3 linked regions of the Oryzias latipes genome follow. The protein of the gene in region 2 purifies or fractionates together with the protein of the main gene of each other region. This does not show direct contact. Links are inferred from orthologs where the notes say so. Each region holds a gene or a part of one and is shown on either strand. Other genes may lie near its edges. The genes, in order: rad23b, psmc6 and psmd5.

Evidence for each region.
Region 1: the proteins of psmc6 (region 2) and rad23b fractionate together in Homo sapiens (co-fractionation; 4 studies listed by BioGRID and IntAct, with this or other methods). This does not show direct contact. The link is inferred for Oryzias latipes from reciprocal best matches to the Homo sapiens genes PSMC6 and RAD23B.
Region 3: the proteins of psmc6 (region 2) and psmd5 purify together in Homo sapiens (co-immunoprecipitation; 4 studies listed by BioGRID and IntAct, counting the BioPlex papers as one, with this or other methods). This does not show direct contact. The link is inferred for Oryzias latipes from reciprocal best matches to the Homo sapiens genes PSMC6 and PSMD5.

The regions. Positions count from the first base shown.
Region 1 is NC_019870.2:9,293,608-9,297,253, reverse strand, and holds the end of rad23b (UV excision repair protein RAD23 homolog B), read right to left. Parts: intron 3,147-3,646; coding exon 2,947-3,146; intron 2,874-2,946; coding exon 2,824-2,873; intron 2,751-2,823; coding exon 2,623-2,750; intron 2,529-2,622; coding exon 2,396-2,528; intron 2,312-2,395; coding exon 2,184-2,311; intron 1,275-2,183; coding exon 1,068-1,274; intron 891-1,067; coding exon 777-890; 3' UTR 546-776; downstream 1-545. UniProt on the Homo sapiens protein: Multiubiquitin chain receptor involved in modulation of proteasomal degradation. Binds to polyubiquitin chains.
Region 2 is NC_019882.2:10,564,353-10,568,315, reverse strand, and holds the start of psmc6 (26S proteasome regulatory subunit 10B), read left to right. Parts: upstream 1-1,163; 5' UTR 1,164-1,463; coding exon 1,464-1,548; intron 1,549-2,032; coding exon 2,033-2,112; intron 2,113-3,308; coding exon 3,309-3,348; intron 3,349-3,629; coding exon 3,630-3,682; intron 3,683-3,963. Other genes in the region: dehydrodolichyl diphosphate synthase complex subunit NUS1, read right to left, coding at 1-301. UniProt on the Homo sapiens protein: Component of the 26S proteasome, a multiprotein complex involved in the ATP-dependent degradation of ubiquitinated proteins.
Region 3 is NC_019870.2:8,935,060-8,939,427, forward strand, and holds the start of psmd5 (26S proteasome non-ATPase regulatory subunit 5), read right to left. Parts: upstream 2,802-4,368; 5' UTR 2,787-2,801; coding exon 2,554-2,786; intron 446-2,553; coding exon 301-445; intron 205-300; coding exon 91-204; intron 4-90; coding exon 1-3. Other genes in the region: putative UDP-GlcNAc:betaGal beta-1,3-N-acetylglucosaminyltransferase LOC100288842, read left to right, coding at 3,607-4,368. UniProt on the Homo sapiens protein: Acts as a chaperone during the assembly of the 26S proteasome, specifically of the base subcomplex of the PA700/19S regulatory complex (RC).

The sequences.
Region 1 (3,646 bases), on a different chromosome or scaffold from region 2:
ACAAGGGTTAAATAGAATTTAAACAAAATGAGACTATGGAGCCTTTAAAAAGGAATGTGAAAGGTATAAAAAAAAGTACTACTTTTTTTGTTTTACTTTTAAGTCCCTTTGGGGGCTCCGTAGCATACCATCTATTAAAATACATATTTGATCTTTAATCCTGGATAACCCCGAGAACAATTTTCTTCTTGGATTTTGATCTGAATATGGTTTGTTTTTAATCATCTGTGTTCCCTTTGGTTAGCAACAGTTAATCCCTTGATTCCTGAATTCATTTCTTGGCTATGAAAGACAATGTTTACCTATTTTACTGCATTCATGTAGATGCTAAATTAAGGTAATTTTGGAGTCAGAGTGGTTTGATGCATATTTGCAACATAAGTGTCCAGGTGTCAACAGCAGCCCAAAAAAGTAAAATAAATAAATAAATAAGGCCTTTAGGTTCTCCCGGATTACGATGAAGTGGATTTGGGGAAAAAAAAGATCCCAAAACAAAATCTTCAGGTTTCAACCCTTCTCGTGTGTGAAATGAACAGGAATGCAGATGAACTGGGACACCAGATCGAGCGTCTTTTAATCATTCATTCATTTGAAGATGCTAACAGAACATCCATCATCACATCTGATGGTGAGCGCGTCTCATCAGGAACACTGGATGTAGAAGTGCAGAGGAAAACACTTTTAGGAGCTAAAAGGCTTCTTTTTTTTTTTGCAAGTTTGTAGTGAACATCAGAGAGAAATTGAAGGAAGAAAAATATGAAAAAGAAAAGTTTGTTTTAATCGTCGTCAAAGTTCTGCTGTAGAAGGAAGTTGGCCGCCAAGTTCTCGTTCTTCTCGCATGCAAAGTAGGCCTGAATGACGAGTCCCTCAGGAAATCCCAGGGCTTTCAGCTGCAAAACCGAAACAGAAACAGAATTCTCCGCTTACCATCACTGCAGGAGAGTCGGGAAACATTTAAACCTGCGCTGAACCTTCAGCAAAAAAAGAAAAAAACTCCTGATATTTGGTGAGACTTATGATCTAAAGTGGGTCAACGTTACCAATCACAGAACTATTCTCCGCCTCACCCTCTCGATGGCCTCCTTCTCCTGCGGTGTGACCTGGATGTAGCTCATCTGACTTTCTCCGGAAGTGTCAGCTCCTGTGCCTCCAGCCCCCCTCGCTCCTCCTCCTCCACCACCACCGCCACCTCCTCCTCCTCCTCCTCCTGGCACTGGATCAGGATTTGGCTCATTCAGCATCTGGATAAACTGCTCCTGGTGGTTGCTGATCTCCTGCAGAAGCAAATGACAGACTCGAAGAATGGAGCATCAAAAATCCGATAGAGACTAAAAATGATTTGACATAATATGAGTTAAACAGTTCTGCTGCAGATTCTCATGGAAGCTTCACAATAAAAGCTTTAAAAACATTTTATTATGATTAGTCTGTGTTCATTCATACCACATCGCTGTCATTGAAGCCACTTTAAAGCAAGTCATGCGTTTTAAATAAAGTTTTTCTATGAAAAAAAACTGCCTTTTCTCATTTTGTTTATTCTATTTATTCCAGAGGGGTTTTTTTTAGCATCAGAGTGTGAGGATTGGAATGAATGTATATCTATCCACACATACATCTAACTTAGAATTATTAGTCATCAATTGATTGGAAAATAAAAGAATTAAAATGTAATAGATTTGTGCATGCAGATGAAGAAGGCATCAGCAGACGCTTTTTTCCCAGGATGAGGTCAGAGGCTGCTATGGCTTCAACTGGCCACCAGATGTCGCCATTTTTCGTTGCATTGAAACCTTAAAATCAGATTTCTGAGAAAAAAACAATTCCTGTTTTTTTGTTTTCTGATACACATTTTTATGTTTGTTCTTCTTAATGTTCTTGTTTTTCATCCTCTTCTTCTGTGGTTCTCCGTCTGGTGCGACGTTTTCATAGTATTTCCTTTAGCAACTATGTTAGTAATGCTAGCGAGTTGCTTCACTGAAAATGGGAACCAAGGGAGAATTCGACAAATTTACAGATGGTTTCCCTCCTAAAATAGCTTCTTTTTTTCTTTTCTTCACATTGTGTTTCTTTTCTTTGCTTTGTTTTTCTGTTTTTAAACTTAGCCAGATGTTCCTGAACATTCCTGTTCATGGAAGCCTGCTTTGTTGGATTTGTTGTTGGGCTGGTGGAGGTCTGCTCCTCACCTGCAGCAGCTCCGGGTTCTCTCTGCCGATCTCCTGCAGGAGCGCTGGGAGCAGCGCGGCGTTCTGCTGGATCAGCTGCCGCATGACGTGGAACTGAGGCTGGTTTCTGAGGAAGCCCAGAGGATTTCCTGATGGTCCAGAAAGTGGAAGCAAATATTGCTTTTATTAGGGCGTCAAAAGAAAGGAAAAAAAAAGAAATGTGGTTGTCGTACCCCCTCCTGCACTCGGTGAGGACTCGGTGCTGGTGGGAGCGGCGGTGCCCCCTGCAGGCGCAGCTGGAGATTCGCTCACTGCAGGCGTGGAATCGGGTCCGGTTCTGGAGCCTTGATCTTGACCCGGGATACCCTAGGGGTGACACCGACAATAACTCCACCTTTTCGTGTGGAAGACAGCACCCTGGCTTTGGATTGGCTGTGGGAGGGTTGGGGGCGTGTCTTACAGAGAGCAGGTACTCCACGGCTCTGTCGGGGTTGTTGTAGCTGGCCCTCAGAGCGGCCACCACCTGCTCCCTCTCATAGCCCATCAGCATCATCTCGTTCACCATGGTGTCGTAGGACGAACCCGTCACTGGGAAGACAAACCAACAGTTTAAACGGCCAGTTCACCTCTCAGCTCGCCGCCCACACCGCAGCAGGCTCACCCAGAGTGGAAACGGCTTCGCTGAGCAGGTCTGTCGAAGACTCTGAGCTCCTGAAAGAGGATCAAACAGCGGTGAGGTCGGATGCCTCAGAGCGAGAACCACAAACACGGAGGCGCCTTTTACCTGGCGGGAGGCGGCGGTGGCGGCGGCTCGGCTGTGGAAGACTCTTTCTCTTCCAGCTTGTCAGCAGGTGCTACTTCTGCAGGTTTGTCTGCAACAGATGGTGGGGTGGGGGCCGCTGCAGCAGCCGCAGAGCTGGGAGCCGATGAAGGAGCTGATGAAGAGGCTGACGAAGACTTTGGGCTGGGCGCAGCAGTTTTAGGCTACAAAATAAAAGCATGTTCCCCAAACTTTGTGAGGTAAAATGGTACTTTAAATGTTTGATGACTTTTTGAAACTCCTAAATTCGGGTTTGTTTTAATCAAAAACAGTTTAAAGATCATGTAACATTTGCTTTAGGAAGCAGCAACAAAACCCTTTTATCCCTTGACAAAGTTTCAAAATAAAACCAATCTGCATTCTTGCTTATTTTTGTCTGAATAATAATGAGAACTTAATGGTTTTTCATAAACTTGCTGTGCAGCCTCAAACATTTTATTGATATTAAATTTCTTCCCATCCTTTTTGCATTATTGTGTTTAGAATAAAGATTTAAACTTGTCTTTTGGCAGCTAAAATAAAGTTGTCGCCTTTTCTTTTTTTTTTGTAGCGGTGGGTGCTGCCCTCCCACATCCCCTCAGCAGCAAAGGAAAAAAACGGCTGCTCTGCATCGAGATTCGCTATAAGTTACAATCACGATTGGAACAAAAAAACACACACACAA
Region 2 (3,963 bases):
GCTCCTCCTCGGCTACCATCAACCCGACGTGCACCGGCAACTTCTCAAGAGCTTTGCCATCCGCCAGCCACTGCGCGCGGCGGCTGCCAGTGTCAGCGCGGCTCCCGCTCACGGGGCTCCGCTCCAGCTTCTTCTGAGAGTCCGTCGGCAGAGCCGCGGGCAGGAGGAGCGCCGCCGCCATCCGCTCCCACAAGCTACCGCCGCGGTTCCGCAGGCGGCCTCGAAGCCACGACATGAGGGCTCTCTTGACGCGAAGCAGAGCGAGCAGGAGCCGCCAAAGCAGGCCGTACAGCAGCGCCATGAGTGCAGCTCCTACTCTGGAGAAATCAGGGAGAAGATTGATTTGCGTGGCTCCGCCGCACTGGAGCGACTCTCAGCTCCCCGCTTTCACTACAGCTGCTGGTTCCACTTCAGCAAACGGTGCTCCACTCCTCGGCTGGTTCCGATAGGCCAACTGGTTCTGTGTGTTAGGTTGTTTCTGTTCGAATCACCTCAGCCCCGCCAATGTATCACCACCTCCACCATAACCCTGCCTGTCAACCTCCGAACTCTGACCTGCGGTGCTGCGTGATACACGGAGCTCTCTGATTGGTCGATACCACAGTGACGGAAACGAGGCCCGCCCAACAATTCAGGGTAGTGTCCCCAGTGGTCAGCGTGCGTATTGCAGGCAATGCTTATTTTTACATGCTTTATGTCTTGAATACTTTCTTTACATTCAAGTAGCAATTCTCAATTTATATCTAACACAGATCTGCTACTTATTTAATATATAAATGTATTAAATAAAATCAAAATGTATTGACTTTATTTCAACAAGGCAACTTTCCATTTGTGGGATAAATAAAGCGTTATTCTAAATTAAATACATTCATTAATTCATCTTCTTCCGTTTATTCCCTTTCGGGGTCATGGAGCTGCTGGAGCCTATCCCGGCCGCTTGTGGGCGAAGGCAGGGGACACCCTGGACAGGTCGCCAGTCTCTGTCACACAAGTAGAGAATCACACACCCACGCAGTCTCACATTCACTCCAATGGACACTTTAGATTAACCAATTAACCTATGAAGCATGTTTTTGGTCGGTAGAAGGAAGCCGGAGTCCCCAGAAAAAACCCACGCATGCACGTGGCGAACATGGAAACTCCACACAGAGAGGTCCCCCATTGATGTTCCGGTTCTTCAGGTCCCCCAGCCAGGACTTGAATCGGGGGCCTTCTTGCTATGAGGCAAGAGCGCCAACCACTGCCCCAATACATTTAAATAAAAATGCCTATTAACAGTAATGTGTTTTACCAAACATCGATTTTCCTTATGTTTATTTGACCTAATGGAAAAATTGACCATTTTAAAAAGAGAGAACGTGGTTATTGCACACATCTTACCGCTAGGCGGCAGTAGCGCGCCCAGCAGTTGCCGCTGATCCATAAAAGAAGTATCGCTCCCCCCTCATTCAGGCAGCGTCATGGCGGACACAAGAGAAAAAGCTTTGCAAGATTACAGAAAGAAACTTTTGGAGCATAAGGAGGTTGACGGACGGCTCAAAGAATGTGAGAACGTGTCTATATCAGTTTGGTGAAAAATAGACAGCAATTTAGCTTGAACTGTTTGCGTTTTCATTTCGATAATCGATAGCCGCGTCTCTCTGATGTTCCTGCTGTGTCATGTAGTTAGCATGTCAGTCTGTGGCCTCAGCCGGGTAAACACACCTTGAACCCAGTTTGCGACTGGATCCCATTTAAGTGGGACCCTTGTGGGTCTTACTAATATAGTCTACTTTGAATCTGGGATTGTTACACCCAAAATTGGACGTTTTTTTGGTGCTATGCTAGCTCCAGCAGCTAACATACAAAACTCAAGCTATGGAAATCTGCAGTGAGACCGCTCAGAGAGCAGAGTCACAGAAGAACCACACCGATTTCTTCTTTAATAAATTGACTACACGGTTACCAGCGGTTTTCAGCGTCTATTTCTGTTGTGTTTTTTAATTCTTTAAAATTGTAACGATAACAAAAACACTGTCCTTTGTGTTAGTGAGGGAGCAGCTCAGAGACCAAACAAAACAATATGAGAAGTCAGAGAACGACCTGAAGGCTTTGCAGAGTGTTGGCCAGGTAAGAACCCAACCTGTCACCGTTTTACAGCCATATATACCTGCTTCATTCTTGCTTATCCACAAAAGTTATAAGTAAAAAAAAAAAGAATAATGAAATCAGTCTTTTCTTTGAAAATGTAATTTTGAAAACTCAAATTCATGGTTAACTTTGTCATTATAGCCATATCCTGTAATGTGCTTTCCAAAAAAATAGTTTTAGTTACAGGTTGACTGTAATCATTAGCATTTATTTGAACCAGAACTTTACCCCTTTTTCTATGCAAGTCACAGATTAAATTGTGGAAATTGTTTTTTATTAACAGCTGAAATGTAAAAAAAGAAAGGTGAAGCAATATTAAATGAATGACTGGAAAAGCTGTGAAAATTAATAGAAAAACATTTGAAGCCAGAAATAACCCCCCCCCCCCCCCCCCCCCCCCCCCCCCCCCCGTGGTCCCTGAACTCACCGGTGAGTCTGCCAATCACATCAGCCGTTTACAATAATACAGGAATGATACAGACCCCCCCCCTCCTATCAGCATTGTTCCCATTCAAAATTTAACATGGTTTCAAAGAATTCTTAGCCATGAAATTGTTCTTTTAAAATAAACTTTATCACAAATCTTGATGATACCCCTTGAATAACCCCCCCCCCCCCCCCCCCAATACCTTTTCCTCATTGTTTGGACCTTGTCTTTGCTTTCTTTTTAGATTTATACATGTTTAATCTTTTTGTTATAAAACGTAAACCGGTTTGATCTCATGTTTTATAATCAAGAATCAAGGAAAATTGTACAACTTGGAATTGAGTTTTTTCTTTTTTTCTTTTATTTTGGGGGGGGGGGGTCGGGTTCATTGTGGAATTATGATATAATAAAATCAAAAATACAGCTAAGTAGAACCTAGGGTTGTACTTGCAAGATGGATATCAAGGATTGCCACAAAACGCATTCTTTGATATTAAGGTTAATTGGATCAATGACAAAAACTGTAGCATTCAGTTTCTGCCTCTAGAAATCATTACTAATTTCACATACGATCTATCTAGTATGCACATGCAATATTTTCAGTCACATGGAGTCTCATTGAAGGGACAATAGGAAATGCCAGGCTTACTGTACTACATTCAGGCATGTCAGGTAAACTGAAGTTTATTTAAGGCTGCGTATTGATTTTTTTTTTTTTTTTTTTTTGGTCTGTGACGTCTTCTTACAGATTGTTGGAGAGGTGCTGAAACAGCTCACAGAGGAAAAATGTAAGTTTATTGAATATTTGCTCCAAATAAGAGGGTATGAATACCTTAGGTTGGAGCTTTGTCAACCTGCTGAGATAAGATTTGTTTTCTTTGGCGTTCTCGCTTGTGTTCTGTTGACGACAGTTGTGTGAAACCTGAAGCTTTGTGTTCTTTACTTTGGGTTTCCGCATCACAGCAGACAAAAACAGACAAATGAAAACGTTTGTGCTTTCCCCCTGAGATCAGCTTCATCTAACGTTTGTATCTGTGACGTTTATTCCTTCCTCCTCTCTTTCTTCCAGTCATCGTGAAGGCCACCAACGGCCCACGCTATGTGGTTGGATGTCGCAGGCAGGTGGGGGCTGCTCCTGTTCCGACTCAGATCTATTTTCACCTGATGATTCTGCTGCAGATTCTAACGTCAGTCTGTTCCTGTTCCATTGAACTGTTCTGGTCATTTCAGTCCTTAAAGCTTTTTAGAACATTTTATTCCCATGTTGTTTTAAAGGTATCGTTTCGTCCTCCAAAGACGTTTGAATCATTGATTTCTGCTCACAGGCTCTGTTGTGTTTCACCTCACCTTAAACTCGCTTTTCTGATCCGCTTGAGCTGAAAAAGTCACCTTTTGATTTGTGC
Region 3 (4,368 bases), on a different chromosome or scaffold from region 2:
TGCCTAAAAGAGGGGGAAAAAAAGGCATTTAGTAAAACCCTGTTGACGAACCAAAACTCACTGAGGTCCTTTAAAAGGCTGAGTGCTGACCTGTTTTGCCACAGACATCTTTTCCTCTCCGATGCAGAGGATAACAGCTTTTAGAATGTCCTCGTTGTTGAGGATTTCTGTGGCGGCGTCTGGATGATCCACCATTCTGCCAATCTGACGAATTACCAAAAAACAAAACAAAAAAAGTGGTGTTTACTTATTATGGGAAGCTGTCTGCAATGTTTGGGTACAAACAGCTCATAAATATACCTGAGTTAAAGCCAGAATCTTCACGGTTTCATTTGGATGGGTCAAACCTCCCTGCAGCTCTGTCCTGTAGTTCTGGACCAGATAAAGAGGGCTGAGGGCCATCAGGATCCGGTCCAGAATCTCCACACAAAGCTCCACTTGCTGCCTATAAACACAAATCAAAAAGTGTGGCCGAAATTCAGAGGGCCTTGTCAAAGATCAACAGTCCACACTAAGTTCCTCTTTGTCCTTTACAGATCACAGCGAGAAAACAGGACAAAACTTTCAAATACTTTGCTGAGCAGCAGATGTCAATTCAAAGTTCTTTCAGGAAACAGCAAGCGCAATTCCACACACAGAAATGCTTTTATTGTAGAAAGTAACAAGTAGGCAAGGCTTTTTTAAAAGTCACATTGGACAGAAAATGGAAAACACATAAAACTAAAATTCAAGAAAAGCAAAACACAACAAACATCTTTATGACATGCTTAAGGATCAAAGAAAAAGTTTGTGCTAATTTTCACATAAATGCGTTTGACCTGCTGCTTTCAGTTTGTCCGTTTTCTATACTAGGCTTGTCTGACAGATGATAAAACAACCTGAGAGACAGATTGTACTGCTCCTACTGTAGTCCCTCCTCTTATTCCAGTTTTACCCCAACTCAATACAACCTCACTTCACTAAATAACAAACTTTCACATTTATTTTCCATCTTTTTGTTCAACTCAGGTGAATTAGGTTGAAAGCTAATTTTGAGTCACTGTTAGTCCTCACTTTTTGTCTTGTAGAACTCAAATAACAGTTAATTTATATATTATACTTAGTCTATCTTTCACACACCTAGGTGTGGGAAATTTGTTCTCCGCATTTGAGCCATCCCCTGGGGGAGCGGTGAGCTGCAGACACAGCCGCGCTCCGGAAACATTTGGTGGCTTAAACCCCCCAGTCAAACCCCTTAATGCTGAGTGTCAAGCAGGGAGGGATTGAGTCCCATTTTTAAAGTCTTTGGTAAGACTCGGCCCTTACAGGGCGGACACTTTAACCACAAGGCCACTGAGCTGGTAAATAACTGATACTGTATTTATCCCACAATGGGGAAATTCTTCTCCGCATTTGACCCATCCCCTGGGGGAGCGGTGGGCTGCAGTCGAACCGCGCCCGGGAGTCAGTAGCGTTAAGGGCCTTGCCCATTAAGGGTCTTGCCCAAGGCCCCTCACTGGGTGATGTGAATTGCTCGCCATTGATATGGTAATTGCCTGATTACCATTGTTCATTCCCCTCCGGGAATCGAACCCTGGATTCCTGCGTGGTAGTCTCTCACCTTACCAAACGAGCTACCCAGACTACCGCCACATTTATTTTTATCCACGATTTTTTTTTTTTTGGTCAAAGTTATCCTGAAATTATATGTAAACTCAAGTAAAAACTCAGGTAAACTCAAAAAGATTTCTCTTCTTGACAAAGAGGAAAAGTTGAAGTGACAGAGGAAACTAAGATAGTAATGGAAAAGAAAGAAGACAAAGATTATATATCCATTAAATTAACAATAAAGTTGTTGTTTTTTAAAACAAACAATAAAAACAAGGATTTTTTTGTGCTCAAACAATGCTTTTAAAGCATTTAATTTCATCTACAAAAAAAGGCAAACTTAAACATGAAGCCCGCTGGTATTGACATTATTTTTTCAGATAATCAAACATCAATTTGTAGATCATGCTGTGAGCGGAAATAATTGGGATGTTCCATTTCATTCTCTATCTTTAATTCTCACGTTGCTAACATCTTTATTTGAAAACAAGTTTAAAGTGAAGAAATAATTTTCTTTTATTTTGCAAATGTAGTGGGTGTCTCGTGCAGCTTATATCTGAGGAATTAAACAAAGAAAACGTACACTGCTTTAGATTTTTACGGCAGCAAAAGCTGTAGATAATTAGTTTACATCATAAAATAAACGGTATCAACCTCATTAAGTTTTTTTTTTCTTAAAAAAAACCTGGGAGATTTTTTATTTCCAAAAAAGGCTATTTTTAATGCTGTTTATTTTATTTGTAAAAAGAGAACAAAATAAAAGAGTATAGTAGTACAAAACTCTCTTTAGAAACATTTAGCCTAAGCATGCTAACTAGTAGCATACTGTAAAAATATATGTGTAGTTTACTTTTTTAATTTACAATTCACCACACAAACGCCAAAGCCTGCCGGACTGACTCAGCAGTTAGCTAGCAGCAGTTTTGGCAGTTTCTGTTAACATTGTAAACACAGGACCGAACCAACCTGTCATTGGAGCTGAGCAGAGAAAATATTACATCCAGACGTTGTCCGCTCACTGAGTCTCTCAATGCACTGACAGATATAGAAAGCAGCGCCGTTTTTAAGCTCTGTAACTCCTCAACTGGATCTTCTATTCTGGAGATTTCTTCCAGCAAACTTTGAATCAAAGCAGCCATGACTGGCAGAGACGTACCCGTCTCTCGAATATGCGTGCGCCTGCGCCTCTTCTTCGTCATGGTTAGTCGAAAAAGTCGACAAGAGTGTTAAGCCATTAGCGCCACCTGGTGGAGGGAGGACAACACAACAACCACTCAGATTTTAACACCATGTAATGTATTTTGATTTTTTATCAACAAAAAACCCTTGTACTTTATTTTACTTGAGGAATTTTGGTTTAATCTATTTGTATATTTGTAAATACCCCTTAAAATGAGCCATAATGTTTCAATTTTGGAGCTAAAACAATGCAGCGACGAACACTCGCAGTCTGTTTCAAGTACAAAACAATGTTTATATCGCAGTCTTCAATTTTTATTTCAGCTTCTAATCTCAGTCATTTTAAAGTTACCCCACATATAGAATGTCAATTAATCTTTAAAGAATTGTTCAATTACTTGAACATTTTTCATTCAAGCATTTGTAAGAGACAATGTTTCTTCATCCTCTGTGTGCATGATGCAGAAACTCAGGTAGGAGCTGTACTGCTGATGAGGTGTAGAGTTGCAAGCTTCTAGAGTTTCTATGACATGGAAAACCCTCTCTATCCTCTACTATTGTTTTCCAGCTCACCACAGTCTCACCTGTGTTACAGATTAACACTGAAGAAGCAAATAATGCGGGTAAGCATAAGAGTCTTCAGATGCTTAAAGCGTTTTCAGGAAATTGAATTTGAAGAACTGTTTCATTTCAAAATTTTAGATCTGTTTGTTCAAGCTGCGTACCCACCAGTGGTGTTTCCTGCTTTTCAACGTACTGCTCTTCCATGCCTTGCTGTTCGGGGCAGATTTTGTGGAGGAGTACCTCCTGCAGCCCACGCCAGGGGTTTACACTGATGCCATGGTTACTGGCGTGAGGGAGAAAGCAAGGAAATTGGACCTGAGCGATGCCAGGGAAAACATTTCCTTTGAGTACCCTATAACAAACGCTGAGGCTTGCAGAAACTCTGACCTCTTTCTTCTCGCTTTGGTCTTCAGCTCTGCAGGAAACATCTCCCAAAGAGACGCTGTGAGGAAGACATGGGCAAACCAAACCCTGATTGAAGGCTTTCCAGTGAAGACATTTTTTTTCTTAGCGCTGTCTGACACTTCTGCTGCGCATCAGGAGCTCCTAAGTGAATCTGAGCGTTATGGAGATGTAATCCAGGCTTATGCTGGAGCAGAGCGGTCCCTCCATGGCTCAAAGGAGAGGACCGTGCTGGCTCTCCGCTGGGTGATCTCCTTCTGTCCCCTGGCACGATTTGTTCTGCTGACCAAGGAATCTGTGTTTGTCAACCTTCCAGCTCTTGGCAGCTACCTGCTCAGACTACACAGACACCCAGAGGATCTGTACCTAGGCAGAGTGATTCAACAAGACCAACCTAACAGGGACCCTAAGAGTCCCGGGTACCTGCCCCCCGCTCTGTACCCTGCCAAATACCTGCCCGAATATTGCGATGACACCGCCTATGTGCTGTCCCAAGATGTAGTCCGGAAGGTGTATGTGGCATCTGCATTGGTCCTTGCGCCCGTGTCCGCTGATGTTTTTGTGGGTCTCTGTGCTCGGAAGGCTGGTGTCTCCCCAACCCACAGTGCTAGGTTCCCTGGAGATAAACACATTCAT